4 linked regions of the Saccharomyces cerevisiae S288C genome follow. The main gene of each other region encodes a partner of the protein of the gene in region 2 in a complex. Each region holds a gene or a part of one and is shown on either strand. Other genes may lie near its edges. The genes, in order: DNF1, LEM3, DRS2 and DNF3. A codon is read from its position in the direction of its gene.

Region 1 (8,638 bases), on a different chromosome or scaffold from region 2:
GCCTTTGGTGCTGGCACAGAAACCGGCTGGGTTTGCAAGTCAGTATCATTTTCGTTAGCCGTGTCCTGTACAGTATAATTGACGAAGACCATTTCACCTGATTTCTTTCTACTACTCTTCTTCGCCTTAGTATGGTTGTCTCTGGGATCCTCTAGCAAAACTTTTTTCGGGCTAGACATAACATTCATAGTAGGTAATACTGGAGTGCTACATGAGCCTGTTGAGGAGTTCCTGTCCGGCGAAGCTTGTGTGCTGCCGCTAGCGGATCTGCGATAATAGTGCGGAATTTTCCATTTATTCGTAGATTCCGTAGAACGACTCTTTGTGGAATTAACCGAACTGGAACGATGGTGGTGACTATTCTTCGGCATGTGCTATTGGTTTTGAGCGATAAATCAAGACTGCCTTGCTTCTTGTCTTAGATCTCCTTCTGAGCTTTCTTAAAAGACTTCCCTAAATGGCTGATCTGATTGTTTCCTTTATTAACAACAAATCCACTGAAAAAAAAGTCAATAATTTGATGGATATTAGCGAATGTTAACCGGAAATAGGAGTGAAAGACGTGTATTACAAAACTATGACTATGCCTGATTAATATCCTGAATAACTAGGCATGAACCTTTTTTCACGCAAATAATAACAATAGGCCTAGGATTTCTATGATATAATAAACTTTCTGTTAGTATAAAAAACTATTTTTGATAAATATAGTCTCTCACCTAGTCAAAAACATACGTATCACGGCTTGATTAATTCTTAACTCTACTTTACAACATTTCAAAAATTCCTTTGATCATGACCTTAATCAATTTTTTTGCCAGTTAGTGGAGAGTTCCCAGCGCTGGAAAGTGCTGGCGTCAGTTTTCCATCGGAAGAAAAAATTAGCCCACCATTGTGCGTCCTTGAATAATAGCGATCCGGGTTAACCGGGAGTGTTAATTATAGAACAAAGAAACCCACACGTCCGCTACTAAAACTTGCTAAAAGAAAGAGTTAACGCTGTAGTATGCATGAATTCCAAGGCTTCTAAGGCTTCTAAGGCTTCTAAGGCTTATCCAGTAATATTATGTAATATTATATATACAGTGAAAAGCGGAGTTCCATCAGCTATGGTTCGGATATCATTATTAATTGTTCTGTTGTGTTCCGATTAAGGAGGCTGCGTTAGTTACGCCTGGTAGATCTAGAGATGTTCTCGCTCTTTCCACAGAGTAGCGGTTATCTAGTTGGTTAGTGGCGATCATCTGTTCTCTTGTGCGGTCCAAGGATGACCTGACGTTGGTTGATGGGCCTCTTCCGAACGTTTGGGCCTGCTGAAATTGGGGCGATTGAAGAAGATCTTGTGTTTCCTTGGGTGAAGTCATCCAGGTTTCTTGCTTCTGATATCCGCTAGGACTTCCATCTTCACCGTGCATGAAAGTCATTGGAATCTCCTCTGTGACAACACTATCCCTTGAATAGTTCGATCCTCCTAAGTTGTCGGAAAGTGCTATGCCTTCTATAATCTTCTCTCCGTGTTGCCCAGCTTTTGTGACCTTGGGTCTGTTGGGATCTGTTGGATCGTAACCAGGAGGATAATGATCGAAATGGCCATGTTGCCACATCTCTCTTACTATTTCCACATCAGTTGGGTAGAAAAATTTTTGAAAACTGTCATATGTGAAACGGGGCAGTAAGCAGAACAGCACGGCAACAAAGAAAACAGCCCAAAATGAAGGTGCTCCATAGATACGCGCTGCAGCTTTGAAAAATTCTCTACTAGCTATCGCAGAAGACCATATTCCCGTCCATGCAAAAACTACGAGGCAAGACAGTGCAATGAATAATCCACTAAACCAATCCCATCTATATTGGTGTAATAAAACATATGTGTTACACGAAATTACAGCAATAGTGGTCACATAAACACCGACAAAATAACGATGATCCAATCCTAACCCATTGCTCGTAACTATCATATTTTTGTGATAAACCAAGTAAGGGAAAAAAAAACAGATAATAGACTGATATAATCCGTCCAACATATACCATAAGAACTTTCTTTGGTTCCATTCTTTCCTTAAAATTCCAACACGGTATAACTGAGGGACCACTAATGATATTGTGTCATTCACGTCCTGGTCCAGAATACCTAAGAAGATGACTGGTAGGGATGTAAATGCCAAATTATAGAACATCATGTATGTGTATTCATACAGGTAAGACCCATCAAAATCATTATAGATACCATACCAGAACAATGCCAAAGCAAAAATCATGTTTTTGTAAAAAAACTCAGGAATCATTTCTGCCAGTCTCTTATAAGACCACCTACCGTGAACGAGGACCAATCTAGCCAAATATCTGAATTGTCCAATGGCGTAGTCTGAGCACATAACAGCTTGTCGACCTTCTTCACCGGCAATACCAATACCAACATCCGCAGATTGAATCATGGCGACGTCGTTGGAACCATCGCCGATGGCTAGTGTCATGACATCTAGAGAATCCTTGACTAACTTAACAACGGCTGCTTTTTGAGATGGAGATACTCTACAGCATAAGACAGCTCTACAATTCTTGCAGAGTAAAAGAAACTTTCTTCTTATATCTTCACCATATAGCGCCAATTTCAAAGCATCACCATCGATAACGATGGCGTAATTACCCTTCGGAAATTCGTGATCCTTTTTAGCTTCAAAAATCTCTTCTTCTGAACCGGTTAAGTTGAAATACTCCTTCAAGTATTTGGAGAGTAAAGCATCCACAATTTCACTTGGTTCTGATCCGAATTCTTTCACGTCATCACCAGTTGTTTTAATAACTAACAATTCCATTTCATTATTCAAAAGGTTGCAAGAAAATCCAATGTTTATAGCTGTTTCAACTTTATCACCCGTAAGAACCCATAATTTAATTCCTGCCTCTGCAAGCAACTCTATACAATCCGGAACACCATCTTGTAAACGATCTTCGATAGCTGTACCGCCCAATAATATCAATTCGCGTTCAATGGAATCTGCAACAACTTCTAATTCATCCTCTCTGTTTGCTAATGATGCAGCAGCAATATCGTACTTTTCGTTCCATTTTTCGTATTCAGACCAACTTAACTCCCTTTGAGCTATGCATAACGTTCTTAAACCTTCAGTAGCGTACTGCTCTAAATGCAAAGCAGTTTTTTCCAAAATAGCTTCACTATTGCTACCACTCTGGCGACTTAATCTTGAGTATATAATGGAATCTGCACCTTTACAAATTAAAAGTGCTCTAGGCTCGTCCCCTGGGTTCAGACCCGGAATTTTGACAATACAGGACATTCTTTTTCTCGATGAATTAAACTCCAAAATATTTAGAATCTCAAATTCTTTTTGAATACCTTGCATTTCAATTATCAACCCTTTTTTGGTTTTTCCAACAAAACTGAATCCTACATCTCTAGCTGTGGCTACTAACGCTGCTTCGTCTGGAGATTGAGCTTTTAAATCCAGTTTTTTTGGATTGTCCGGGTTTGCTTCTACAAGGACGGAGTGACATAAAGCTAATGCTAACATAAAGTGCTCACAGCATCTTTGTTGTACTTCACCACTAGCCCCTTTCAAATCGCGAACGAACTCCTTTGATACAAAGGTAACTTCTTCGGGATAAAATTGTGAATTTCCTGATAAAGCTCTCAGTTCATCGATCATTGTATCCCTATCCTTGGCAATTTCGGCCTTCTCACGCCTACCTTCGGTTTCGACGTCGATACCTTGTCTTTTTCTTAATCCCGCTAACGCTTCGGTGTAAGCTCTTCCATATGAAACACCATTGATAGTACATTTTTTAAACTCCATTACATTTTGAGTTAATGTACCTGTTTTATCAGAAAATATATATTCCACTTGACCTAAATCGTCAGAAATATTCCAGGATTTTGGTGTACAAGGATAATCCAATTTGGCATTGTAGAGTAAAACGTCTCCGTAAATGAAGGCCGCTTGTGCAGTTTTGATGATCTCCACAGAAATGTACAAAGAGATTGGGACTAAAGATTGGTAAAGAATAACAGCAACCCAAAATGAGACGAAACCGTTTGTCGCCGCTGACCCAGCAATTGTTCCAAATTCATAGGAAAACCGTGATCTGCCTTTTTTGTCGTAATATACACCATTTGCAATACCAGAAACAAAACATAAGATGAAAAGTAGCACGAAATTTATCACCACAGAGAAGTTTAGTTCTCTTGAAATCCTGGACTTCTTGGTGGGTGTAATGCCAGAGTTTAACATGATTTTTGTGTCACCACCGGTAAACATTACAACACCCATTGCCCACTTAGTATTTCTAAGAGTGCAACCACGAAGCAGAACGTTATTAATAGTAATTGGCTCATTTCGTATCTCGCCATCTGCAAGATTTCTCCATTTCATATTACCTTGATAAGTGTACAAATTTGAGTGGGGCCCTTCACTTTCGATCCAGAATTTTGTTCTAGCAATATCTTTTGACGTTCTTATAGTATTGGTACACTTCAAGGATTGGCGTACCTTTAAGTTTGTTTCACCATCCAAATTTTTAGTTTCTACGTAGCAGGCACCATCTGTATCCGACGTTGAAAGTAAGATAATGTCAGCAGGGATTTCATCATTGTTATGGATACGAACAATATCACCAACCTTGACACCTTTCCAATAATTCTTGGCAAATTTACAATCAGTTCTGGGTGGTAGGGATCTATCAACTATATTGGCTTCACCGGCCCCTTGTTCCAAATTATCATAATCCAATGAAGGACGGCCATAATCTGCAGATACTCTGTAACTGTCAATGGAGTCTAGAGAGGATCTGGGTCCACTCGTTCCAACAGTTTTTTGTACTCTTAGTTCATGACGCTTTCTCTGCATTCTCTTCTTTTTGCCCTCTTCAGTTAAATGTTCTTTACAATATTGTATAAACTTGAAAAGGAGTCTAGAGTTTGCTTTCTTAAACCTTCTCCACAATGAAATATTATCGGTTGAGACATTTTCGTTCTCAACACCTTCTAAAATATGTGTCTTGGTATTATTCACCTCTAAATCTAGGACGGTTCTTCTTGAGTCTTCAATAGCATCCTTGATCGCAGTGATTATAACAATGACAACTAACGGAACCGCACTTAAACCAGGGTTCGTGACACCAAAAATTTGAAATGCACCTAAAATTATTAAAACTAAGAAATAAACGTTGGCGAAATTATGAAACTGAAATAGAATGTTTTTTGGTAAGAATGTTAACGGGGTATATTTGGTAGTTCTGATTTTATTACGAGGATACTGCATAATGGGGTTGCCTTCTTCATCTATCATATCTTTTGGTAAGGGCATATTGTAATACACAGTCCTTAGTTCTTGCGCACGATTTATGGCACCAGGGTCAATATCATCCTTCGTAAAGTCTTCAAATGGGTTTGGAATGTTCTTCCTAGCCCATTTCAAGGTCTTAGATCTTCCCATTATTGGGTTTCCTTTTTTATTCCTTTTTGTACCCATCCGGAATCTTTTCATACCATCGTAGTTAGTGTGCGGTTCACCACTATCATTGTCTAATTCCACATCATCAAACGTCCCAGATCCATTATTAAGTTTCGGTGTTGGCTGAAAGGAATGATTGTCATATTCTGTGTCATCGTTAAATGTGAATTCTTCTGCATCTTCACGTTTATTTTTGGGTGTTTCATCATTGAAGCTGACCTGTGGCCGGCTGTATTTGTTGCTTGTTGCACCATCATCAAAATGGGTAGGTGCAATATGTGTATCTTCATTACTGCTATTATCTTCAAATTGAAATGTATCTTCAAAGGGCGACATGGGAGCATGCCCATCGCCATGAAAAGTTCCAGACATAATTATCAACTAACTTTCCTTTTTAAAGTTAACTGCGTTTTTATTTCACTTCCAGGAGGAAATAAAGGATTTCTGTTACGGTTGCTTTCCCTTGCTCAACCTCCGGTTAATTTTTGAGTGTTTTTAATTGCGACCCTAAAAATCCACTTAAAACTGTCTGAGTTGCGTATTACGATGACCTTCGGTTATTAAAGGTCAAATTTCATAAAGTAAAAGCTAAGTGAGACTTTGCTCTGTGAAATTTTATCAGCTTTGTACCTCCAGTTAGTTGAATGCGGTGATGAATAGCAAGGTACCCTCACTTGATTTGTCAATTTTTTGTAAATTAGTATTTTCCTGGAACCTGTTGGTCTTTTTTCCGTGCTATTTTGTTTATTTTCCGCGAAAACTAACATTCTGCCGTTAATAATGAGACCTCAAAAAAACGCAACTAATAAACTCAGTAATGAAGTCTAATAATAGTAAAATGATACTTCTCTTGACAGTTAAAAACAAAAAACGTTTGCATTTTGTCAATAAGAGCGAGTATTTAGGTTACAAAGGATAATAACTAGTATTTAAGACAAAAAAAAAAGGGAAGGGAGAAAAAAAAGATGATAAGTTTGTTGAGTAGGGAAGTAGGTGATTACATAGAGCATTAAGCTTGCTCAGTTTGTTGTTCTTGCTCCTTTTTGAAAGACTCATAGGCAGCAGAAGCTTCTTTGTAGTGTTGTTCGAACAATTCATCACTTTCCAACAATGGGAAGACCTCTTGAGGTGGCAAATCCAAAATCATACCAGTAATTTTACCAGCTGCTTCTTCATTTGAAGTCTTAGCAGAAACCTTCTTGTATAATTGTTCACCCAAAGCTTGTCTTTGCTTTTGTTGATAAAATTGGTTGTTATCGTTGGCATTTCTTGGGAAACCACCTTGTGGGGGGACGCCGTAAACCGGACCATTTCTAAATTGAGGTGGCATGCCGTTCTTTGGCATACCGCCCATTGGGTTCATTTGTTGTGGGTTTGGACCGTTGAATGGAACACCTCTTGGTGGCATAACACCATAGAACATTGGAGGCATGAATTGACCTGGCATACCGGCAGCGGCGGCGGCAGCGGCAGCAGTAGCTTGCTGGTATCTCATTTGATTTCTGGCTTGGATTTGTTGAGCCAATTGAGAACGTCTTACGTCTTTTCTTTGAGCAATGGCAACGTATAATGGCTTACCAGCAACAATTTGTTGGTTCTTTTCTGTAATGGCCTTAGTAGCTTCCTCTGGAGTTGAGAAACAAACAAAACCAAAACCCTTAGACTTACCGTTTTCGGTTCTCATAACCTTTGCAGAAGTGATAGTACCATATGGAGCAAATTCTTCTTCCAACTTTTCGTCATCAACGCTGTCATCTAAGTTCTTAACAAACAAATTAACACCTTGGTACTTGGCCATTTTTTCCAATCTGTAAGCTTCGTATTGCTTCTTCAAGACATGCATACGTTCATTCTTCTTTTGGGCACGACCAACGTATAACTTTTCTCCATTTAGTTCAGAGTCATTCAAAGCTTCAACAGCTTTCACAGCGTCTTCATGCTTTTCGTAGTTAACAAACCCGAAACCCTTCAATTTTCCATCAGCATCCTTTTCCAAAGAGGCAGAAACAATTGGACCAAATTTGGCAAACAATTCTTGGAATTGTTCGTCAGTAGTTTCGGAGTTGATGTTTTTCACATAAAGGTTAGTGTAATGTGCCTTAGTCTCTTCCAATTGAGAGTCACGTTCCTTTCTGGACAAGTGAGGAGCAACATAAATTTCTTGACCGTTCAACAGCATACCATTCAAAGCATCAATAGCTTCCTTGGCAGCACCTTCTTCTTCGAAGTGAACAAACCCAAAACCCTTGGATTTTCCGTTTTCGTCGGTGGCAATCTTGCTGGACAAGATGTCACCAAACACAGAGAAAGTGTCATACAAAGCCTTGTTGTCAATATCAGGGTGCAAGTTCTTGATAAAGATGTTACCAGAACCCTTCTTTCTCAATGATGGGTCACGTTGAGACCACATAATACGGCATAATCTACCCTTGATTGGAGTGTAGTTCAATTGCTCAATTGCTTTTCTGCCGGCTTCATGGTCGTTAAAGTTAACATAAGCATAGCCCAAAGAGGTCTTAGTGATGGCATCACGACAGACACGAATGGAGGAGACTGAACCGATTGGAGAGAAGATATCATATAAGTGGGCTTCGGAAACAGAAGGTTCTAAGTCACCAACATATAATGATGCAGAAGAGTTTTCAACAGATTGGCTTTCTGAACCAGTGGCGGCTTGCTTTTGGTCATCTTGAATATTCAAGTTTTCCAATTGTTCAGCTGTCTTATCAGTAATATCAGCCATTTTATTTTTATTGGTTTTTTAGTTTTTTTTGGATTTTTTTTTTTGAGTTTTTATTGAATAAAAAGCCAGATATTAGGTGGTGGTACCAGGGCCTGCTCTATGCTTCAAACGGTTATTAAGTAAAAATGTTACTTCGTAGCTCACTGTCCTAAAAATACAAAATCAAAACTAAAGAATTTTACACAAGAAAGAAGAGATATAAAATACAAGATGACACTTTCTATTAAGTAAAACAGAAACCTCTTTCCTTGGAACTGGAGCGAAAGAGAACAATTGTCCCAGAACTTGCGATGGTGATGGCAAAAAGCGCAAAAAAAATTTTCTTTGTAAAAAGGAAAGAGAAAAAAAAAAAGAAATAATCTTCGATTAACAGTTTTCGTTAAACATGATTGATCTATCTGCTTTGTGGCTTCATACAGTATGA
Region 2 (5,185 bases):
CCAAAAGGCCAAAGGAAATAATTGGCGAGTTTATACAGACACTTGGAGTACTCCTTCGCAGAGTTCGTTACCAGTCCTCCGCCGCCTAGTAAAAATACCACAATAGCCGCCGAGTAGAAGAGTATCGCAATGGGGAAACCGAACAAAATAAACCATAGCACATTGGAACAAGTCACCTCCCAGGTAATAGTCTTCAACTGAGTCTCGTGAATGTCTTGCGCCGCGGTTCTTTGAACTGAACGGTGTTTCTTATATAAAGCAGGCTTCCATATCCTGATACCGAAGGGGTGGGTCTCGTTGATGGCGTCCTGTCTTTCTCGTAAAGTGAATGACTCTGTGGACGAAGCATTAGACGCCTGGTCATTGTTTTCCAAGTGTGAAGGCGACTGGCAATTGATCTCGTCTATAAGTAAATCATGGCCGTGCGAGTCGTGTATAATGAACCGACTGTCATCATTGGCGTCCTCGTCATCATTGTCATCATGAGGTAATTCCCGGATAGATGAATGCATTCGTTTCGGAGAGCTGGGAGTAGCTGTATTTAAGTCTGGCACAGAGTGCGACTTGGAGGATAGCGACTCTAGTGTGGGCGGCAAGTGTTGTTGGTGCTCGTGGTGGTGCAGCGTGTTGTTGCTGCTATGTACGATTGGTGATTGCGAGCTTACAGATCGCTTGGATTTATTGGCATGCAGGGCGAACTTCAACCCTTCATGCAGACCCTCAAGATACCTGATATCGTTTTGGATCTCCTTTGGATCATCGTCCACGCTAAATATTCTATGAGGAGTCGAGGCAGATGTAGTTGGGGTCAGAACCTCCTCTTTAAGACGATGGTCTCCAGAGGTACTGTTACCACTGGCAGAAATGTGGTTATTTTTGGCCATTGCTGCTTACCGCTCTTCTAGCTAGCAGTTATTTCACTTTCATTTACAGCATCCCTCATGTTTATTATCTTCTTTATCTAATATAAATTAGGAACTAAATAATCCCCTCACCGTATAAAGCGACAGTTCCGTGACGGTTACTATTATGAATATCTCAACGGAAAGAGGGCATTAAAAGATCATAATAGTTGGTACTCTCGTATTTTATATATATATATCACTATATTTTAACACTTTTACTGCTCAATTGTGCCATATACTTCGCCTTATTGCGTACATTCTTCACCTTGTATCCCCCTACCTCAGCGTGTATGGTGATATCGCGTTTTTTCATAAACTGAGAATGGGGCTTTTTCTATAACGTGTATTATGAAAAAAAGAAAATAAAAATCAAGAATTAAGCACTTGTATATGCTACAGTAAAGACCTCTTCAACTTCTGCAAGACAATCAAAAAAAAAATGATGCGTCGCACGCTATTACATTCATTCGCTACGCTGCTACTTTCTTTGTCGTTGTGGTCAGCTGCGGTCATGGCAGCTGTGACAACTCAGGTTACAGTGGTAACAAATGTCGCAGGGGCCCTGGTTACGGAGACCACAATATGGGACCCTGCCACCGCTGCTGCTGCTGCTACAACTACCGCTCAAACAGGTTTCTTCACTACGGTATTCACTACCACTAACGATGTCGGAACCACCGTCACTCTTACTCAGACAGTCAACAGAGCCACTATGCTACCAACCACGACGACTTCTACCTCATCTACTGGTAAGACAACCACCACTGTTCCTACCGCAACTTCATCGTTGTCTTCGGGACTGTATTTATCTACAGTTACCACGACAAACGATTTGGGTACCACAGTTACATTGACTCAAACGTTCACACATTCTAGCACCAGTGCTACTTCATCCGCCTCCTCGTCTGTGTCCTCGTCTGTATCTTCGTCTGGTTCATCCTCCAGTGTAAAGACGACCACATCGACAGGGAGCGCAGTAGCTGAAACAGGCACCAGGCCAGACCCCTCCACAGACTTCACAGAACCTCCTGTGTCTGCTGTCACTAGTCTATCTATTGACTCATACATTACCATCACTGAAGGTACAACCTCCACTTACACAACCACACGTGCGCCAACGTCCATGTGGGTCACTGTTGTTAGACAGGGCAACACTATCACTGTGCAAACTACTTTTGTCCAGCGTTTCTCCTCCCAGTACGTAACAGTCGCTTCTCCCTCCGTGGGGTCTATTGGGATGGGTACTTTAACCGGTACTGTAGGCGTTATTAAATCTGCAATAAAGAAAACAGTTTCGCATAATGAGGCCCAGCATCTAGGTATGAGTTCGTTTACTTCAATTTTGGGTGGGCTATTAACGGTTTTAATTTGGTTCTTATAAATTTTTATTCAGAAATAAACACAAACATATACATATATAAGAGTAAAAATAAAAAAATAAAAAAATTTTACAGGGTTAAAAATAAAGAAAACCATCACTCCTTTTCTATTTCATATTCCATGACAAACTTGATGCATCAGCAATCTTTCTACCGCCGAAGAGCCAAAACGTTAATAATATCAATGCCATGGCAGCACAAATACAGCCTCCAATCAGGTAAACTATACCTAAAAATGGATTTCTACCGCCAAGGTGAGAACCGTGAGTCAAGTAGATTCCCTTCTTACCATTAAACTCCAATACTGGCCAATGCAGACCGATATCCAACTGGTATTCACCCGCTGGCAAAGTATCGTTTTTATTGATTCTGATCAGTTTTGTAATTTTATCAAAAGCACCTGGCCTCATCCAGTTTTGGAACTCTTCCCAATCCTGAATATCAGGAATATTCGTCTCGTTGTATCCATCTGGATACATCTTTTCCCAATATGGTGGAGGTGCTATCTGTGTATAATTGTATTTGGTTTTTTTGTACCTTTTTTTATCAGATTCCCAATTGATTCCTTTATTTGTCAATGAATAGTTGTTAGACGTATCCCCTACATTTGTTAACTGCAGGGGGAACGTGTCGTTGAACATTGAGTTCGCAATTAGGCCACATGGATAGTATATTTTACCATCGGCGTTCTTAGATAGTGGCTTACAATTTATACCGGTTGCATCATGCACCGTCTCATAAGAGGCGTCCTCCCCACGTATCTGATCTTCGCTAAAAGATAGTACATATCTTCTGTGATTGGCAGCAAATTTTTCCAGCACATAATTCAAATATACGTTATTTTTCATATCACTTGGAGTAGTGAACCTGATTTGGCATGTACCTCTTTGTTTTGTGAAGTCATCTGATTCATCATCCACAAACCTCCATTGTGGTGCAGTATTATATGTTTTATATTTGTGAAATACAAATTGCCAATGTTCAGAAGGGATGTCGCTCCATGATGAGGTTGCGTTAGTCATACAGTCCTGGTAATATATGGTTACTTCATCCACTTTGGAGTTCTGTGCTAATATGCACCCTCCTACAATAACAAATACAACAGCAATTAACAGATAAAGAGGCAAAACTGTCCTCGGCGTTAACACCGGGTTTATAGCCGCTAATCTTTGTTGAGTGAATGCATCCTCTTTGGGTCTTCTGTTCTTTGTACGCACAGGCTTTACTTCATCCTCTTCAAACTCAGAAGCATCGACGTCTTCTTCTTCTTCTGGGTTGTCTCCGGACACTATAGCTCCTTTGTCCTTTCTACGGAATACTTCACCAACTTGGCCCAAATCGAAATTTACCATTCTTCAATATTTTACCACCCTCTCGTATTTCTAAAAGGACACTTAATTGTTTTCTGGTCTGTACTGATGATTTAATTTGATCTATTTATTTTATCATCATACAAGATTCCTTTTCTTTAATTTCGCGCATAATAATAATCGTTGGAAAATCAACTGTCAAAAGCCACCAGAACGGCAGACAAAGTTGACACTACAACATTGGACACATACTACCAGAACGCTCATTTGCATTTTGCCACACTTGTACACTAGTTACTGGCACTATCTTGCGGTGGTCACTAAGGCGCACTACACTCGTTACGCCATTTGGGTTTATTGCAGCACGTTCATTTACTTGTCCTCCTGATTTGTTAATACCTCTTGCAATTGCATTAAACATATATATATAATATATACATGTATATATTTCTTGTAAAGTTTTCAAGCTCTTCTATTGGTCTCTTTACGATAGTCCTCATCTACTTAGCCGAGCACTATTGAAATGTAAATGCTGTGATATTATTTGAAATTAATTAGTTTTGAAACGTAGTAACGTAACGCAAAGCAAAAAAGAAACAGGACAAGGATGAACAATGATGCAATGGAGCATACCCTTGGTGGAGGTATACTTACCACATCTGGGTCTAAGCAGAGAAAGACCTCTAAGTTTGTAATGGGTAAATATACGTTATACGAAACCAAAGATCGAATGTATATTGTTGGAAGCAATAAAAGGGAAACCATGTTTCGTATTCTAGAAATTGATCTTACTGTACCCCGTGGAGAATTAACTGTGTTGGAGGATAATGTCTTCTTCACCAGAAATGAAATCATGAATGTACTAGCAAGTTTAGAAGAAGCAACTGAAGATGGTCTACATAAGAAAATTACAGGATACGGTCTTCTGGGATTCATTAAATTCACCTGTTGGTACTATTTAATAATGGTTACCAAGTATAGCCAAGTTGCAGTGATTGGCGGTCATGGTATTTATCACATTGATGGTATTGATATTATTCCTATTACGAACAACTATAAAAAACCTGAAAAAAGTTCAGATGAGGCAAGGCTATTGAATATATTTAAGGATTTAGACCTAACAAAAACCTTTTATTTCAGTTATACCTACGATATCACAAATACTTTACAAACCAATATATTGCGAGAGAAATTAAAAGCGGTTGACCGATGTGATATTACAATACCTTGCGGGATAACCGACTATAACGAAATGTTTGTTTGGAATAACAATTTATTATCTCCTATTTTTGCTTGTATTGACACTGTTTTTGATTGGTTCCAATGCATTATACATGGATTTATTGACCAGGTTAATGTTTCAGTTTTGGGTAAGTCCATATATATTACTTTAATCGCAAGAAGATCCCACCATTTTGCTGGTGCACGCTTTCTAAAGCGTGGTGTTAACAATAAAGGTCATGTTGCTAACGAAGTCGAAACTGAACAGATTGTAACAGATATGATTTTGACTCCATTCCATCAACCGGGAAATGGATTTTTTGATAGTGATCGATACACTTCTTTTGTACAGCATCGTGGCTCAATCCCC
Region 3 (8,108 bases), on a different chromosome or scaffold from region 2:
AAAGTACGAAGTCTCAGTACGATGAAGTCTTCTGGACTCTCGCCAAAACACCCATTTAACGTAGTCGCCACCTTTAAAGGACCATTCCCGCAGCATAGTGTAGAATCAAAGCCTCTCGATGGTGGATACTCTGCCAAAGACCATTTTCCCTCATTTAAGATGTTGCAAGCCCAGCAGCACCCAGCCCATCGCCATTACAAAGACAACGACAAGTACGGTCTTAAATCACCTTCCCGGTCCTTCGTGAAGGACAAGAAAAGGTTGGTTCACCGGTTTTTGAAATCCATGGAGCCTTCTTCGTCTGGGCAATCTAAGGATTCGTCTGCACTGGCGCCGGCTTTCGATCCAATATTGCCCAATGTTATATCTAAGCCTTCCAAGCGACCCACACATCATTCGCATTCATCAGACGGGAGTTCTAGCACGCAGACAGATATATCGTTACAGAGCTTGCTTTACCATGATCTTGAAAGCTCACCAAAGAAACATGTTTCGCCCTCAAGACCGCCCTCTGTAGCTTCCGAATCCTCTCCTGCCGTTGCTAATCCCATTGGGCTTTCGCCAAAAGACGCCTGCAATGCATCGTTTTCGCAGTCGTCCTCATCTTCGTTGTCTTCTTCTTCATCGTCTTCATCATCGACGTCATTCTCACAGTCAGTGGCTGTTGATCCTCTTGAACCTCCTGGAAATATCACATATAGTAGTTCGAATCTTTCGCTAAATTCAGATGAATTAGACTACTATCAGCGTCATATCGGATTGCAGTTACAGCAGACAGAAGCTTTACTAAAGCACAGTTTGAAAGATGAGGTTCTGAAAGATGAAAATGACCTTGTTAAAAACATTGCAAATTTTGACAAGATCGTTAAAGAGCTAAGGGACTTAAGATCCAGGACCATTGGATGGAAAGAGCTTGTTGAAGAGGATTATTTAATGAATTTGAAACAGGATTTTGACAAGGAAAACCCCGAATCATTTGAGGCACGTTTGAGTGATACAATAAATACAAACGTGGCAAAATTACAAGATTTAGAGAAAAGAATGGCTTCTTGCAAAGACAGGTTGGCCTCTAGGAAGGAAGTAATGAGGAAAATGGAAAGTTTATTGTCTTTGGAGAATTCCTTAATGATATCCAAAAAAAATGTAACATTCGCATCTAAATACCGCAACGAGGCCCTTGATATTGTCTTTTTAATTATCATCATCGTCATATGCTATACCTTCAAGCATCTAGTATCGCATAAATAAAAAATAGTATTTGTATATCAAAAAATGATCCTGTGATTTTTTCATATGTAACGTATAAATGTAAAAATGTGCTTCTTCTGGTATTTTTAATCAAGTGGAAAGATGAGTGGAAAAAAGGGCAATGAAATAGAAAAGGACAGGCCTGAAAGGGAAGAATACAAGAAGATTGAGTATATTGGACTTCACAGTAACCGTGAAAAATGGCACCAAGTATAGCAACGGTAAAGATAGCCAGGGACATGGTTTTGCCATTACGTATATTTGTCAATAGAAAGCAGATCCTTCAAACCAATGATAAGACTAGCAATAAGTCGAATGCCACTATATTTGAAGCACCATTATTATCAAATAACTCCATAATCTGCTTAAAATCACCAAATACAAGAATATATTTATCGCAACAAGATAAGAAGAATCTTTGTGACGAGATCAAGGAGGACCTGTTATTGATTGTTTACGAACTAGCGTCCCCGGAAATCATCAGTTCCGTACTCAGCAAAATAAGAGTTGGTCATTCTACTGATTTCCAAATCAACGTTCTGCCCAAACTTTTTGCAGGTGCCGATACGGATAATGCGGTAACTTCTCACATCCAGTCTGTGACAAGGCTGGCTAAATTCAAATACAAGTTGCACTACAAACATAAGTGGGAGCTCGACATATTCATCAACAGCATTAAGAAGATCGCCAATTTAAGGCACTATTTGATGTTTCAAACATTAACATTAAACGGTTTCTCATTAAATGCAGGACCCAAAACGTTATTAGCTAGGAAAATAGAAAAACAGCCCCAGGTACCTAATTTGTTAATAGAAAATGGGGACGCTGATGCCCTGGATACACCGGTGGAAGAGGATATAAAACCTGTAATAGAATTTATGTACAAGCCTGTTATTAATTTAGGTGAAATTATTGATGTACATGTGTTGCATAGGCCTAGAAGACATAAGGTACGTACCCAGTCGAAGCAACCCCAGGAGGAATGAAAAACCGATAACAAAGTGATGGCTTAATATTATAACTTCTATATAACGGATATATTTTATGGTAAATGTACATATTTCAGTAATGGTAATAATGACTTTTCTTTTTATCTTATTTTTATTTTTGTATTTTTTGTCTTCTGCTCTTTGTTTCTGTGCCTCATATATCAAATGAAATATCATCTCTCGAAGAACTGAATCTATTTGAATTTTGATTACCATCAGCAAATGGATTTTCAATGAACGGTTCTGCACTTTCAAAGTCGTTACTTCCCAGTCCATTATTGTCATTAAAGGGGTTCGCCGAAGCATCTTGTAATTCACCGTACTTACCTCTCTTTTGAGTAGTATCATACATTCTGACAATTTTTTCTTGCCCACCCTCTTCAGCCTGTGAAAAGGCAAATCCTCTTTGTTTTTTCATTCTTTGCACTTGCCTCACCTTCCTGATGGCATTTTGAAATTGCTGAACGTGCGGCCTAGAGTCGCTGATATTGTATTTCTGCATTTCTTGAATAACATGATACGTTTCTGGTTCATACATTCTTTTATAGTACTTCCATAGAAAATCTCTTACCAGTGCAAAAATTGGTAAAACGATCAAAGTTAACCAAAATACACCGGATCCATACGTGTGTTTAACCACACCATAATACTCTCTTGAGATGTTAGCATGAGGAAATATAGAAGCATAAATTGGGAAGAATATTAACCAAAATAAGAGGGAACCAGGAATGGCAATTAAGGTGAATTTCGTCCATTGATTAGTTACCAAAGCAGCCTTTCCCAAAACAATAATGACACTTGTAGTGTAGACAGTTACACCCCAAGACCAATGATCAGCTAGTTCGCCGTGCATATTTAAGGCAAACCCATATCTGTAAATCAATATGGTGCCAATAAATACTATTGCAGAATGGAAAAAGCCATTAATAATCCATCCCCAGAAGATGTAAACAGAGAAAAATTGACCCTTCTGTCCTAATTTGTACAATTGTGGGTACCGCTCAAGTAATCTACTACTAACAAATTGATCAAATACACCAATGACAAAAGGGGGCCAAACAGTGAAGAATAAGTTGTAGAAACTCATTGTCCATGATTCCATAATGGATTGACCTGAAAAGGCATTGGCAAAAACGTACCAAAACTGCGTCATGTATAATGCTGTATTCTTGTAAAAAGAGTACAAAATTGCGACAGAAATTCTTTGATAAGACCAGGAGCCATGGACAAGTAATAGTTTTTTTAAAAATTTAAATTGGCCAACAGCTATATCAGCTGAACGAGCCGCTTGCATACCTTCCATACCACTAATACCGACACCAACATGAGCTGCCTGTATCATACTAACATCGTTGGCACCATCGCCAATGGCTAGCAGTAGTGAAGACGACTTTCTTTTTACCATTTTAACAACCAAGGCTTTCTGTAGTGGAGATACACGGCAACATATAACCGCTTTACAAAGCTTCGCCACAGTTAGCAAATAATCTTCTAATTCTGGTTCCAAGGCAAAGCCTAATGACTTCCCATCAATGACGAGCGCTAAGGTATTCATATCATGTGTTGACAATTGATGCTCGTTTAGAGCGTTAATCTTCTCTAACAAATTTCTCTCAGTATCATCTCTGGTTTCCTCGTTGATGATCAACAAATTCATGTCTTCACTCAATAAACGGCAACTCATACCAATGTTAATAGCAGTTTCCTGTCTGTCACCAGTTAAAACCCAAATTTTAATACCCGCTTCTTGTAATGTGTGGATAGTTTCTGGAACACCGTCCTGTAACTTATCTTCAATAGCAGTTGCACCAATTAATATTAGATTTTTCTCGATTAGATTTGCGGCTTCGTCTAGCTTCTCGGCTCTGTTATCTAATGTTGTGGCAGCCTCATTATAAATGCTATTCCATTCTTCATATTCTCCTTCAGAGATATCTCTCATCGCCAAACACAACGTCCGCAAACCCTCAGATGCATAATCTTCTAAATGTCTCATTGTAGCTTCTACATATTGATTAGCTTCATCATCCAATCTTTCCAGAATGACAGTATCAGCACCTTTACAGAATAACTTTATCGAACCATCCGGAAATCTAAATATAGCGCTCATTCTCTTCCTGGTGGAATTAAATTCACAAATGTTAAGTAGTTGATACTCTTTTTCCTCGCCAGTTTCCTCCAATAAAACAGTTACAGAGTTTGGTTTACGGATGATAAACTTATACCCTAAATCTGCACCACCTTGAACGAGGGCACCTTCATCTGGAGAGGCTGCTTGATATTTAATAGATCCATCGCTTTGAAATTCTGGAATGACAGTATGACAGGTAGCCAGTAATGTTAAGAAGTCATTGATAATAGGTGAATCCTCATCAGAGGGATCATTTAACTTTTTCTTCAAATCGTCAAATTTTCTATAACCAACTTCAATCCCATCTTCAACAGTGGCCGTTTTATCTTCAGGTATTTTATCAATATAGCAATGGCCTGCAATAGAGCAGGATTTAAATTCCATAATATTTCTTGTTAAAGTTCCTGTCTTGTCACTGAATATATATTCTATTTGACCAAGTTCTTCAACCAAAGAGGATGTACGAACCACAGTTGGGGTATCAGTTTTTTCGTAGTACAAATCTAGATCTGAACCTATCATAAAAGCCTGATAATATTTGATTAATTCAACGGTGACAAATAGAGAAATAGGAACTAGATTCGAAAATAGAATCCAAAATGTTAAAAAGTCTTTGAAGAATAAGCCAGCCTTGTTGGTACCCTCCAGGTAAAGGTACGATAAATGTTTGGCATCTGCAGTAGACATAATAACATTACCAATTGAAGAAATTAAAATTAGCACGATTAAAACTGTGAACAATGCAATAATCTGTCTGTTGATAATTTTCTCAACCGCGGTTCTTTTAATTGGGGTTGCAGTAGCATTACGCAATAACTTAGTTTCATGACCAGTGAAGATAACTAAACCAAATATCCATGCAGTATTTCTTAAAGTTGCACCTCTTAAAATCATTTGGTCAGGAGATAACGGTATTTGACGATCATTTAAAGTCATTGTACCTTCATAAGTATACAAGCTAGAGTTCGGCTGTTCGGAAACAACTTTTCCGTTCATGTTCTTCAAAGTTTTAACGTCTATAAATTTGGCAGTTTCTACTCTCGACTGTTTGATTTTCAAATTTGTTTCACCATCCAAGTTGGCAGTTTCAATGTAGCAAAGACCCTCCGGTTCCGAAGATGACAAAATTATGGTATCAGCAGGAATAGGTTCCTCTGATTTTACTCTAATTATGTCACCTACACGAATATCAATCCATCGTTTCTCAACAAAGTCATCATGTGCTTCTGAAAATATTTCTGCTGTCGAATTATTTAATTCTTTATCAGAATTAGCTCTCTTGATATCTTCGATACATTCCTTCATGGCAGAAACAATCAAAACCACTAATAAAGTACCAATTGTGGTGTATCTATTAGTTGGCGAGACGTGAGGCACCTGTTGAATGGCAGATGTACATAAAAAAAACAGATTAGCGTATTTGGAAAATTCTTGGAACAAAAATTTAGGCAGAAAGGTCGCAAAATTATACTTGGTGGTAGATATATGGTTGTCACTATAACCGAAGGAGGAATTAGCGAGAGAATCGTTGATGTGGATGACTCTTGGTTCACCATTGCCCTCTGCGTCGCCAACGTTCTTTCTTAAAATGTACCGGTTGAAAAGAATTTTAATGTTGAACTTATTCCTCGAGTCTAGATAATTATCGTCTAATTCGTTATTAGTCACCGCATTGTAATGATTCATTTCGAAACTTTCGGGCCCTTTCTTCCGTTTGAACGTAAAGGCATTTTTGAGACCATTACCAAACCTAGCAAATAAACCGGGAGGCTTGACTGCTCGTAGGGATTGTGGTTGATATGCATCTGAGTCGAATCTATTGGCATTCCAAGACGTTTGGTCGTCATGGTTATTGCTCATAAATAGATTTTCATGGACATCATTTTCAATGTTATCATCATCAGCGTCTAAGTCGATAGTCTCTTCGGGAAGTACATGACTTGGTGGTATATAATTCGCGTTCGCATGTGAGTTGGTGACCTTTGAACGGGATCCAGAATGAGAAGTCGTGTCGTCTAAGAAGTCAATATCGAAAAGCGTGTCGTCCTCCCCAGGTTTCCTCTTTGGGGGGGTTTCTCTGTCGTCATTCATGGTAAAATCAGGGAATGAAAGAACCTACCAGTAAATTATTGCTTGGCGCTAACCTCTATTTGGCGTTACTGGCTTCTTGTTGCACTATTCCCCTTAGAATTGCCAACAATTGTTGATTATATGTTTCTTCAACTTAGTGGCATTAAACAGATTTGGGTTTTCTGGCAAAAAAAGCCAATCACGTGATCAGGAAGATTTCAGTGATTTACGCTTCAAATAACCTTTACCTCAATAATCCCGTAATAGTAAGCTTCTAATAGTAAGCTTCTAATTTGCAATGTTATTAGCCCAACAGCTACTAAAGGTATTATTTTTTTTTTTTTTGATAAGAAATTTAAGTGTTACAGAATGGGCCATCTTACAAAAATAATAGTCTTTATGTATTTTTATATATGTAAAAGAATTGAAATATTTTATAACTGGTTGTTATTATGGTACAGTGCGCTGCCCAATCCACGTGGAAAAATCCTGTTCATTCAATAATAGAAACTGAAATCATGTAATGTTGCGTAGTATAGTGCGTGAGCTTATTGTGCCACTTCTTGCTCAGCATTTTGAACTTCGTGTTCCTCCTCGTATTCGATTTCGACTTTAGGACGTTTAGTTTTGGCACTAGTTCCCTTCTTACGTCTCTTGGCTGAATTCTTATTTTCTTCATCACTATCGCTGTCGCTCTCGCTTTCACTGTCGCTTTCGCTTTCACTGGCGCTGGAAGCTTCTCTGTCAGAGTCAGCTAACCACTTTTCTAAGTCATCCACGTCAACGTATTCACCTTCGCCATCATCTGCAACGTATTCAACTTCCCCATCATCACTTTCCTCTTCTTCATCCCAGTCTTCTTCCTCGTCCTGAGAATTCTCCTCTTCCATTTGACCCATTATCTTCTTCCAGACCTTTTCGTCAACATTTAATGGTTTATCACCGTAAGCACCACTCTTTAATCTGTCCATCAATTCTTTTTCGATGGCTTTTTCAATCTTGGCAGCTACCAATGCCTTTCTCTCCCTGTTTTGTTCTCTTCTTTTGACCTTTGGTGCTACACCAACGTAGTGTCTCTCCTCCTCCCTTAATGCTAAACGTCTCTCTGTTATCATGACCTGCGTCAATTTTGTAAATCTCTGTTTACACTTATGACGGAAAAACTTGCTCCAATGTAGTAGGTGTTCGTCGATCTGTTGTAAAGCCTTCGTGTAATTTTTGGATAGTTTGATTCTTTCCCATAACTTGGCAGGAGTGTGCGCTCTTTCAGGCGTCTTCATATACAAGTACAGTTTCCCATTGTCACACTTCACTGTTGCATACTTGGAGTTGGCAAGTGGGCATGATTGCCTTGTACACAACCCAGTGACGTTATACTCATTTCTGCAAAAATTTTGACCATTAGGTGCCTTAATTCTATGAGAGCAGAAACTTTGATTAATCACTTGCCAAACAATTTCGTCGGACATATCCTCGTTGTATTCTAACCGTTGTAGTTATGTACTGAAGAGAACACTGTCAAAAGAAAGAACTAAGCAATGCAATATCTGCCTCTATACCAATCACTTTTTCATTTTTTTTCAAAAGCTCATCGGAAAATTTTTCAAAAAAAAAAAAAAAAAAAAAAAAGGTTTATTACCCTACTGCATTTTGATAATCTGAACATAATG
Region 4 (9,146 bases), on a different chromosome or scaffold from region 2:
TTGTGGAAGGTCTATAATAGGAAGAACATGTCTTTCACTGAGGATCAAGAAAAAATCGCGCTAGAAATACTGTCAAAAGACAAGCATGAGTTTTACGAAATTTTGAAGGTAGATAGGAAAGCCACAGATAGTGAGATCAAGAAGGCATACAGAAAACTAGCAATCAAATTGCATCCTGATAAAAACTCTCATCCAAAAGCGGGAGAAGCTTTCAAAGTAATTAATAGGGCATTTGAAGTACTAAGCAATGAGGAAAAGCGCAGTATTTATGACAGGATAGGTAGGGATCCTGACGATAGACAAATGCCATCCAGAGGTGCTGCTTCAGGGTTCCGAGGAAGTGCAGGTGGGTCTCCAATGGGTGGCGGATTTGAAGACATGTTTTTCAATTCACGTTTCGGTGGTCAAAGAGCTGGACCACCAGAGGACATATTCGACTTTTTGTTCAACGCAGGCGGCAGCCCATTCGGCGCTTCACCATTTGGGCCTTCTGCTTCCACTTTTTCATTTGGAGGCCCCGGTGGTTTCAGAGTTTATACTAATAATCGTGGTGGCTCACCGTTCATGCGTCAACAACCCCGCTCAAGACAGCAGCAACAACAAGCAGAAGAAAATGCAGTGAATTCGCAATTAAAAAATATGCTCGTTCTTTTCATCATCTTTATTGTTCTTCCTATGATTAAAGATTACCTGTTTAGTTAAACACAATATTTTTACTGTCATTTTTTTATTATTTTCCAACGTTAGTCAAAGTTGTACTATAAAATAAAACTACAAGGAGCAAGCAAAATTGAAAAAACGCATTTGTATACTAGATGACATTTAGGTCATTCCTTCAGGCTTCCTGGCTATGTTTTATTTTGTTCCACAGTTTACCAGAAGGACATAATGGTATTAGAATTTTAATATATCGAGGAAATTAAATCAGACAGTATAATACTTATAAACATCTTTATTTTCTGATAACTAATCATAGCATTTACGCCATACATTTACTTTTTCTTTTGACACCGAAAGTAATCAAGCCACTTTTATAATTAGAGTTAGTTTATAGATAGTATTTAAAATTTGTGAAGATTTCCCATGCGTTGTGCCTTGCTTTCTCTCAAAATACATCTTGTTAATTTTCTAATGTGTGGATGCCGAAATAATATTCGACTCAACAAATCAAGTAAGTCTTCTAAGCTCGCTACTAATTTCCAATAAAAGGTATATATATAAAAATGTTCTCAATAATGTAATTAAACAAGATCACGAGAATTACTCCAGATCCTTTAGCCTTGCCTGAATAATCTGGTTCACATCTTCATCTTCCACATTCCTCGATGGAAGCTTCAGTTTCTTCGTCAGTTTAGTAGTTATATTGCCGCCAATACTGTCTTTACTGCTTTGTGTTTTCAAGGATGGTCGCTTGATTAACTTGCCACTAGGTAATACCTCGTATCGTTCAGAGCTCTTTTTAGAAGAGTTTCCAAAGAAATTTTTTTTTGAGGAATGGTCTACATTCCCATTTGACATTGAATATATGCTGCTGTTATGAGTTTTTGCACTTGCACGTGAATTAGTTCTTGGCCTTGAAAGAACTTTGTCTGTGTACCTTGTGAAAGTACTGGGATCTTTATCCCACGTCCATCCTTGCCTCATTTCGCTATAGGCTCCTAGTTCCAGCTTCTTTCTGATATCACTTTTTTGTTCCAGCTCAGCAAAAATATCAGAATCTGATGGCCATATCATAACTTTGAATGTTTTGTAAACTATATCTAAAGTGATAGGTAACAGTGCCAACACCAAGCTAGTACACCAGAATGTAATGTCTTTACCAAAATGATTGTAAAAGCCATATGCTACATCATATATTTGGTCAGTATTATTCAAAATAGGAAGGGCACAACACCACACTAACCAACCTCCACAGGATAGAACTACAGAAGTAAAAGCCAGCCAATTCCTATTGTGCATTTCAACAAATTGGGATTTAACGTTAATTAAGGCAACAATGGCTGTGAAATTGATGAGACCTAGAGGATACATAGTGTTATCTGAAAGAGAACTCATACCCCACATTACAACATTTAAAAATGTAATGATAAGAGAATTCGTAGTTGCCAAGATAACCCACTCCATGAATATTAACCAATTAAAACCTTGTGAAAGGCGCCCGTACGAATATAATTCAGGGACTGTTAGTAGAGTCATTGGTTTCAAGTCTTTCTCAAACATACCAATACATAGAACCGGTAGTGATGTGAATAGAGTATTGAACATGGACAATGACCATGGCTCATATAGAGAGGAGCCTGAAAACATTGTATATCTTTGATATATCAACTGCGTAAAGTAAAACGTAATTTCTTTGTAAAACGTGCAAAGCATAAACTTGGAGGTGCGAATATAGTTATAACGCCCATGAACAAATAACAATTTCAAGAGAAACCGAAATTGGCCAATAGAATAATCAGATACTCTAGATGCTTGCAATCCCTCCTTACCGGCTATTCCAACACCTATATCGGCAGATTGTATCATGGCAATATCATTCGCACCATCACCTATTGCCAACGTGACTAAGTTTGGATCGGTATTTCTTATGTTGGAAACCATAAGGGCTTTTTGAGAAGGTGAAGCACGGCAACATATTACCGAGTCTGTTTTAGTGCAAAGCTCAACAAATACAGACATGTATGTAGGATTTCCTTCAAACATGGCCATCGTGGCACCGTCAATTACAACAACGCAGTGTGCTATGTTTCCGGAATCAACTTCTTGAGAAACCGCATTCATCTTTGATATAATATTTTCATCAGTAGTAGTTAAAATGACTACCGTAGAATAATCTTTGATTAACATACACGAATACCCTATATTTATAGCCGTTTCCCTTTTATCCCCTGTTAGCATCCACATTTTTATACCGGCTCTTCTGATCTTTTCTATAGCTTCTGAAACGCCGTCTTGTAACTTGTCTTCGATTGCAGTTACCCCTAACAGATTTAAACCATCCTCGATTTCTGCACCTGCCTCATCGACTTTGATTTTTCTATCAGTAAGGGAGGTTTTGGCTTGGTGATAGCGTTTATTCCAATTTTCATACTGCCCAATATCGATCCATTTGTAAGCATAGACCAGAGTTCTTAAGCCTTCAGTCGAAAACTCATCGATGGCTTGCAAAGTTCTTTCAATAACATACTCTTCATTCAAAATTAACTCATCGCTTCCAATGTGCTCCAAAATTTCTGTATCGTAATCATGCTGTAGTCCTTCTTTTCTTGTGTCTATTGGGACATTGTTGTTCGGAAAATGTGTTCCATCTATCGAAATTCGCGGCCCATATTTTTCTATTTGTTGCTTATGGAGTGACTTCCTGCTTTTATTTACAACGCTGCCAATCTCCTGATCAGATTTCTTGACCGTTTCTAGAAATTGATCAATGGAGTCAATTTGTTTCTCTGGATCACGGGTCCTGCTGTTCTTCATTGAAAGACTTTTTCTCACTGCCTGCAATGATAAACTTGCTCTCGGTACGCTAGACAAAGAATTTCTCAATGAGGTCCTGGCCATAGCCTCTTCATCTACCATTCTTTCCAGAGACTTTCTTTGCTGGAGAACCAGCTCTGCTTCTGCGTCTTTACGTTCTTTGGTACTGGTGCATATGTCTGCCATTTTTTTGGCAGCCAATTCGCGATCATGTAAACGCTCCATAATAACGTTATCAGCACCTTTGCAAATTAAAAGAACTTGATTTGGTTGATTTGGCATACGTACAAGAACAGACATTCTCTTTCTTTGAGAATTGAAGTCAATATAGTTCAAAATTTCATAATTTTCCAATTTTGCTTCACCGTCAAAACCGTCTGGAAAAGTTTTAATGGTCAAAATCTGTGCATTTCTATTCAATACAATATAACCAAGGTCTCTAGCAGCGGTTACTAGTGCTAATTCATCTGGAGATGAAGACTGATACTCTATGGAGTCTTCTCCTATTGATTCGTTATGAGTTTTTTTGGGAAGACAGCTATGACAAAGAGCTAATGATAAGAAGAAAAATTTAGCCTTTTGAGAAAACAGGGCGGTCGGATATCTTTGAATAAACTGAATTAAATCAAACGAACTTTTAATGTTCTCCGAAAATGTCTCGGAGGGTGAAATAACCGAAGCTTGTTTACTTAGATGTGAATTATCTTTCCCAAAAAGTGATCTCATACTGGGACGGCCTGTATAAATTGCTGATGAATTTCCCTTATATTCAATAGAATTCCTAGATTTAGGAAAGTTGTCCAAAGATGGACGATGCCCTTTTTCAATTGGTGCGTCCGAAAATCCTAACCGATCAAGAACATTTTGATCTCCAATGGAAACAACGTCTATACTAGAGCCGTTGTGAGCTTTTGGTGGTAGTCTCAAGGAGTTCGTATTGTCTCTGTTGTCTTCAAAGTTATCCTCAGAATTACCGAGATCTACATTATGCAGCCAAGATGATCCACATAAAGAAAATTTCCGAAATATCATCTTATTATCCGTCAGCGTTCCGGTTTTATCACTAAAAATATAAGATACTTGCCCCAATTCCTCCAGAATGGTGGCAGTTCTCGATTCGCATGGCGTGTTCGTTTCTGCATGGTACATGTCTATGTCCCATTCCATCATTTTACTTTGGACTACCTTGATAATTTCCATTGTTACATATAGGGACAAAGGAATCACAGTGTTATACATGATGATAAAAGACATTATTGTGGGTGCTACGCCAGCATCTGCCTGAAATAGATACCATGCTTTGTTCTGGTCGATATATTTTTTCTTATGCAAAACATGGCCAAGATAAGAAAATAAAGATATTGTGGCAACGACAAACACCATAAACACGATAATCATATTTATCTTCCTTTGTAGCTTAGGGGCTTTCGTTCTTGGGTTTTTTAAAGCATTCATTCTGATTTTTGTTTCCTCACCACTGAAAATGACCATACCAACAACATTTTGAGTATTCCTCAAAATACTACCACGATAAATGACATTATCAGGACCTAGAGGGTATTTCATTATGGTATCATTGCGATGGTTTTTCAATTCAAGATTACCTTCAAAATTATATAAATCAATATTGGGATCTTCCACGGTAACTTGAGCATTAATATTTGCAAGACCTGATGCGGCTTTGGTTAACTTATTTAATTCTGGATGGGGTTGTTTACTTTTCAAATTTGTTTCGCCATCTAAAGCCATCGTTTCAACGAAACATTCGCTATTTTCGCCGTCACATGTCAATAAAAGCAGATCTGCAGGTACCCAATCATCTTGTGTGAGAAGTACGAAGTCTCCAACACGAAGTTTTTCCCACTTCTTTTGATGAATATGAACATTGTATTTATTCTTGAGTAGTTCAAAGTTATTGAAGTGCGTGTCTAAGAAGTGTCCTTGAGAGGAGTTCCGATCATCGTTTAAAGGTGGATTATTTTCAGCAGCGGCCGATTTAGTTAGATATGCAGTGGATGAGACAACACTACTTGGTAGTGTATAAACTTCTTGTGCGTCATTATTTCCATCTTTAACCAACACTCCCACTGGTTTATTGTTCTCTTCCTTATCTAAACGATGTCTCCTGAAATCGTCCCAAGCCTCTCTTGTCATGGATATACCCATAAATACACATAAGGGGATAATAGTTGTATAAGTACCAGTTGTAGACCATCCAGGTATCATTTGTAATACTGCGACAATGAAAAAATAAGTATTGGCTAACTTTGAAAATTGTGCATACAACTGTCTAGGCAAAAAGGAATAGAATGTATATCTTGATGAAGTTATTCGGTTGTCGCAGTAAGGCTTGTTGAACCTTTCGTCTATCAAATGACCATCCCTTTTAGTAGCAGCTTGTTTGTATTCAATTGCATTATGATCTAATATAATCGGAATATGTCTACCGTCTTTCGAATGGAACGTCCTCCTTCGATCTAGGATAGTATCAAGTATTTTAGTGATAATGCTATATGACACATCAGGACTACCATACTCTTCCATTTCATAATCCTCTTCAGCAGCATAATTGCCGCTTGTTTCATCTCTGTCATCTTTATCGTTATTATCGCTACCGGAGAACGTCTTACTCTCATTTATATCTTCTAACTCTATCTCATCATCAGTTCTTCCGCGATATTTATCATACAAATGCTTGTTGAACATCTGCGTTCGTAGTGATGAAGATCTTCTTCTTTGCCCATCAGCTATGCCCATAATATTTTTTTCTTTTTAATAAAGAATGGAATTAAATTATCTACTTCAATTAGGATGTTTATTTGCTGTATGGAAGCTATGTGTATATAACGATAAAGGTCAAATAAAAGAAATAACAAAAAAGAAAAGAGTGAATGAATAGTCCAAAAGCAATGGGGTAATTTGGCACTTGATCTTTTCTCAAGACTTCCTGCAATATTGAATTCTTCTTTGTTAAATATTCGCTTACTTAAAGCACTTGACAGACTGGGGTCGAAAATAACCCGGCTGCGCAGCCCGTCATTTGCTTATTTAGAAAATATGATTAAAGTGTAATTAGTTATTTCAAAGTACATATTAAAATATATTATCATGAATCATTTCCTAGTAATCCTTTTAATTCATACAAAAATGGGATAGTTTCTTCCGAAGATACTTTGCATTTGCTGAGAGGCCTGCTCTCAAGAAAGGCATCGTCTCTTAATGGTTTTTGAAAGCCAAACTTTACGGACATGGAAGCCTGAGCTTTTCTTAGCAATTCAAAGGACTTTGCAGTTCTTAGCCTTTCCCTGCCTTCACGGTTTTCTTGAGCCAATTTCAAAATTCTTTCATCTAACTTGCGTCGTAATTCGTTGTCAGAAAGTTGCTTGAAATCTGGTTTCCTACAACTATCCTTTCCGATAAAATCTACGCGGTGATTTTGGCGTGAACCGGCAGAACATTCCTCCTGACAGTCGTAGTCTTCATATTCCTCTAGTTCGGTGTCGTTTTCAAAAGAGTCATTCACCGATTCAGCAACATCAATGAAGTCAACTTTCCTCTCTAAGCTAAGACCTTGTACTGACGAAGAACGGGGTGACTTTCTGCCTTTGAGGATATCCAGATGGAAACCATGGTTGATTGTATTGGTTGGGGATACCTTTTGTATCCTAGAAATATTGCCACAAATTTTCGAGGTTTTCCAGAAAGTAATGAGCTCCTCCAACTTATCCTCAATGATGTTCCTATCATTCTCTGTTATGCCATTTCGAATGTCAATAGCTAATAGATTGTTCTCGATCATTTTTAAGTAATTAAGTGCCTGAAACAATTTATCATTCTTTGAAAATGAACATACATTTGCTCTTTCACAACCAGTATTAGTTGATGTTTCTTCAGGAAATGCATACAATATTTGCTTATGGTCATTCAAAGACACCAGGACAGTGGAGAGTAGTGAATGTAATCCTCTTAATAGACTAACTATATTTTGGAATGTACCTATTGGATTATATTTTTTTTTGAGTTGCACCCTTGCCATGTAATCTGGAAAGATTTTGTTTAGTGCGTTTCTCATGTTTACATTTGAAAGATTTTCGTTTCCTGTCATATCTAAAGACAGCAAACAACAGAGCATAAATTTCTTTAGCAGTTTGAGACGATAAAGCTTACCATCAAGGTCTTTTACTGTGGTAGTATTATTATAGTAAAGATTTGGTACATCGATACCGTATAATTCACAGTATTTCGATAGCTCACTTGTATCGCTAAAGATGACAATATCTGGAATGATTGATTTGAGTTTATAAAACAGTGCATCACTTGAGAATACTAGGAGCTCTTTTATCACAGATGAGTGCTCGTCAGCAATTGAAATAAGAGACACTCTTGATATAAAACTATGATTTTTTATTTCTTTAAATCGAAGATGATATTTATGAATCATTACATCCACTTGTTGTAATGATTCGAGCACTTTCCGTACCTTTAATAAGGTTTTATAGCAAATCAAATGTCTTCGAAAGTATTCTTGCTGAATTGATAAATACACTGCTACGAGTATTAAAATTACAACTCTCTTCAGACCTGGACTATTTTTTTTTCTACAGTATTTTTTCAACTGTGTAAGTACTCGATAAGAGGTTATAATCATCGAAAGGTAGTTGAAATTTTGTCTGAAATATAATTTTTTGTCCTCTGCTACCGCCAATTTACCATATTTTGTCGCCATAAATGGTACAGATTTGGGAGGTACATTCTTTAACAAAGTTGAGCTTTTATGAAAGTTCATAATAGATTGATCAAGATGTAGTGATAACCTGTAATGATTCATATCATTCAAAAAATGAGAAGTAATGATTGAATACCGAAATTCTTCAAAGAATTGGTGTGTTACACCGAATGGCTGTTGCATGAAAATTCTTGAAATAATATCATCCCAATTAAAAAACTTCGTTGTTTTTCCTACGGTTATAGGTGAAAAAGTACAGTCATTAGATCCCACAATTGTAGGGGAGTATTCATGTAATACGCTGCGGCTGCTTAATAGGGACGGTTTTCGCCACGTAGAGTAAAATTCTTGACGATTGTTCTCGGTGACACCTATTATGTTATCACTATCAAGGGTTAGACTAGAACTCATGAATCCATCCTCTTCGCTTGATTTCAGCATGGAAAAAATCTGTAAACCGGGAGCCTGCAAGGCGGATGGACGTGAGTTTGTTGTCATTATTAAGTTAATCAACAAACGTTTCACAAGTAAGTAAAAACAAACTTGTTGCAATAAGCGTGAGGTATGCCGAGCAGTTATTGAGGGGGTGAGATTTTGACCTTTGATAAAACTCCTATAACCGTCTAGTATCCGGTAGTCACCTAATCATTTATGATATTGGGTGAAGATGAATGTTTAGTTTATTTTCAGATCAAGTGTTTTTATTTACGTTTTGATGTTTTCATGCGGGATGTCTTCAAAAAAATGATTTCGCCCAGGATCGAACTGGGGACGTTCTGCGTGTTAAGCAGATGCCATAACCGACTAGACCACGAAACCATAGTAAGTTGGAGAATTCTGTATAAAGAGTATGCTACATTTCTCTAAATATGTTAGGAATTAAATATAAAAATTCCGAAAACTTTGAGGCACCGTCTTTTTAGCTGGCCAGATAGCTTGCTTACCT

Evidence for each region.
Region 1: the proteins of LEM3 (region 2) and DNF1 are in contact, whole or in part, in a cryo-EM structure (PDB 7WHV), measured with the Saccharomyces cerevisiae proteins. Residues at the interface, in NP_014076.1 of Saccharomyces cerevisiae: Asn50 (codon at 3,489), Arg51 (codon at 3,486), Arg52 (codon at 3,483), Pro53 (codon at 3,480), Lys54 (codon at 3,477), Glu55 (codon at 3,474), Phe58 (codon at 3,465), Thr59 (codon at 3,462), Gln60 (codon at 3,459), Gln61 (codon at 3,456), Arg62 (codon at 3,453), Leu63 (codon at 3,450), Ala64 (codon at 3,447), Ala65 (codon at 3,444), Ile66 (codon at 3,441), Asn67 (codon at 3,438), Pro68 (codon at 3,435), Val69 (codon at 3,432), Leu70 (codon at 3,429), Thr71 (codon at 3,426), Pro72 (codon at 3,423), Val75 (codon at 3,414), Leu78 (codon at 3,405), Tyr79 (codon at 3,402), Ile82 (codon at 3,393), Phe86 (codon at 3,381), Ile93 (codon at 3,360), Glu102 (codon at 3,333), Tyr174 (codon at 3,117), Asn176 (codon at 3,111); in NP_011093.3 of Saccharomyces cerevisiae: Ile234 (codon at 5,144), Thr238 (codon at 5,132), Asn239 (codon at 5,129), Tyr574 (codon at 4,124), Gly579 (codon at 4,109), Arg580 (codon at 4,106), Ser581 (codon at 4,103), Ser584 (codon at 4,094), Tyr585 (codon at 4,091), Glu586 (codon at 4,088), Phe587 (codon at 4,085), Val604 (codon at 4,034), Phe631 (codon at 3,953), Tyr633 (codon at 3,947), Gly634 (codon at 3,944), Asp635 (codon at 3,941), Val636 (codon at 3,938), Leu637 (codon at 3,935), Tyr639 (codon at 3,929), Asp644 (codon at 3,914), Pro646 (codon at 3,908), Arg1171 (codon at 2,333), His1176 (codon at 2,318), Trp1179 (codon at 2,309), Arg1183 (codon at 2,297), Tyr1205 (codon at 2,231), Tyr1208 (codon at 2,222), Asn1209 (codon at 2,219), Asp1210 (codon at 2,216), Asp1212 (codon at 2,210).
Region 3: LEM3 (region 2) and DRS2 share a complex: the UniProt entries of both Saccharomyces cerevisiae proteins name them as parts of the flippase complex.
Region 4: LEM3 (region 2) and DNF3 share a complex: the UniProt entries of both Saccharomyces cerevisiae proteins name them as parts of the flippase complex.

What each region holds. Positions count from the first base shown.
Region 1 is NC_001137.3:509,949-518,586, reverse strand, and holds DNF1 (aminophospholipid-translocating P4-type ATPase DNF1), read right to left. Parts: upstream 5,844-8,638; coding exon 1,128-5,843; downstream 1-1,127. Other genes in the region: BCK2 (Bck2p), read right to left, coding at 1-371; PAB1 (polyadenylate-binding protein), read right to left, coding at 6,481-8,214. UniProt on the Saccharomyces cerevisiae protein: Catalytic component of a P4-ATPase flippase complex which catalyzes the hydrolysis of ATP coupled to the transport of glucosylceramide, phosphatidylcholine, phosphatidylethanolamine, and small amounts of phosphatidylserine from the lumenal to the cytosolic leaflet of the cell membrane and ensures the maintenance of asymmetric distribution of phospholipids.
Region 2 is NC_001146.8:30,395-35,579, reverse strand, and holds LEM3 (Lem3p), read right to left. Parts: upstream 3,637-5,185; coding exon 2,392-3,636; downstream 1-2,391. Other genes in the region: VNX1 (calcium/hydrogen antiporter), read right to left, coding at 1-884; KRE1 (Kre1p), read left to right, coding at 1,345-2,286; FIG4 (phosphatidylinositol-3,5-bisphosphate 5-phosphatase), read left to right, coding at 4,202-5,185. UniProt on the Saccharomyces cerevisiae protein: Accessory component of a P4-ATPase flippase complex which catalyzes the hydrolysis of ATP coupled to the transport of glucosylceramide, phosphatidylcholine, phosphatidylethanolamine, and small amounts of phosphatidylserine from the lumenal to the cytosolic leaflet of the cell membrane and ensures the maintenance of asymmetric distribution of phospholipids.
Region 3 is NC_001133.9:93,239-101,346, forward strand, and holds DRS2 (aminophospholipid-translocating P4-type ATPase DRS2), read right to left. Parts: upstream 6,460-8,108; coding exon 2,392-6,459; downstream 1-2,391. Other genes in the region: FRT2 (Frt2p), read left to right, coding at 1-1,248; DNA-binding protein SAW1, read left to right, coding at 1,449-2,234; ribosome biosynthesis protein MAK16, read right to left, coding at 6,987-7,907. UniProt on the Saccharomyces cerevisiae protein: Catalytic component of a P4-ATPase flippase complex which catalyzes the hydrolysis of ATP coupled to the transport of phosphatidylserine and small amounts of ethanolamine from the lumen to the cytosolic leaflet of the trans-Golgi network and ensures the maintenance of asymmetric distribution of phospholipids.
Region 4 is NC_001145.3:577,691-586,836, forward strand, and holds DNF3 (aminophospholipid-translocating P4-type ATPase DNF3), read right to left. Parts: upstream 6,232-9,146; coding exon 1,261-6,231; downstream 1-1,260. Other genes in the region: type I HSP40 co-chaperone HLJ1, read left to right, coding at 28-702; INP2 (Inp2p), read right to left, coding at 6,581-8,698. UniProt on the Saccharomyces cerevisiae protein: Catalytic component of a P4-ATPase flippase complex which catalyzes the hydrolysis of ATP coupled to the transport of phosphatidylcholine and small amounts of phosphatidylethanolamine from the lumen to the cytosolic leaflet of the trans-Golgi network and ensures the maintenance of asymmetric distribution of phospholipids.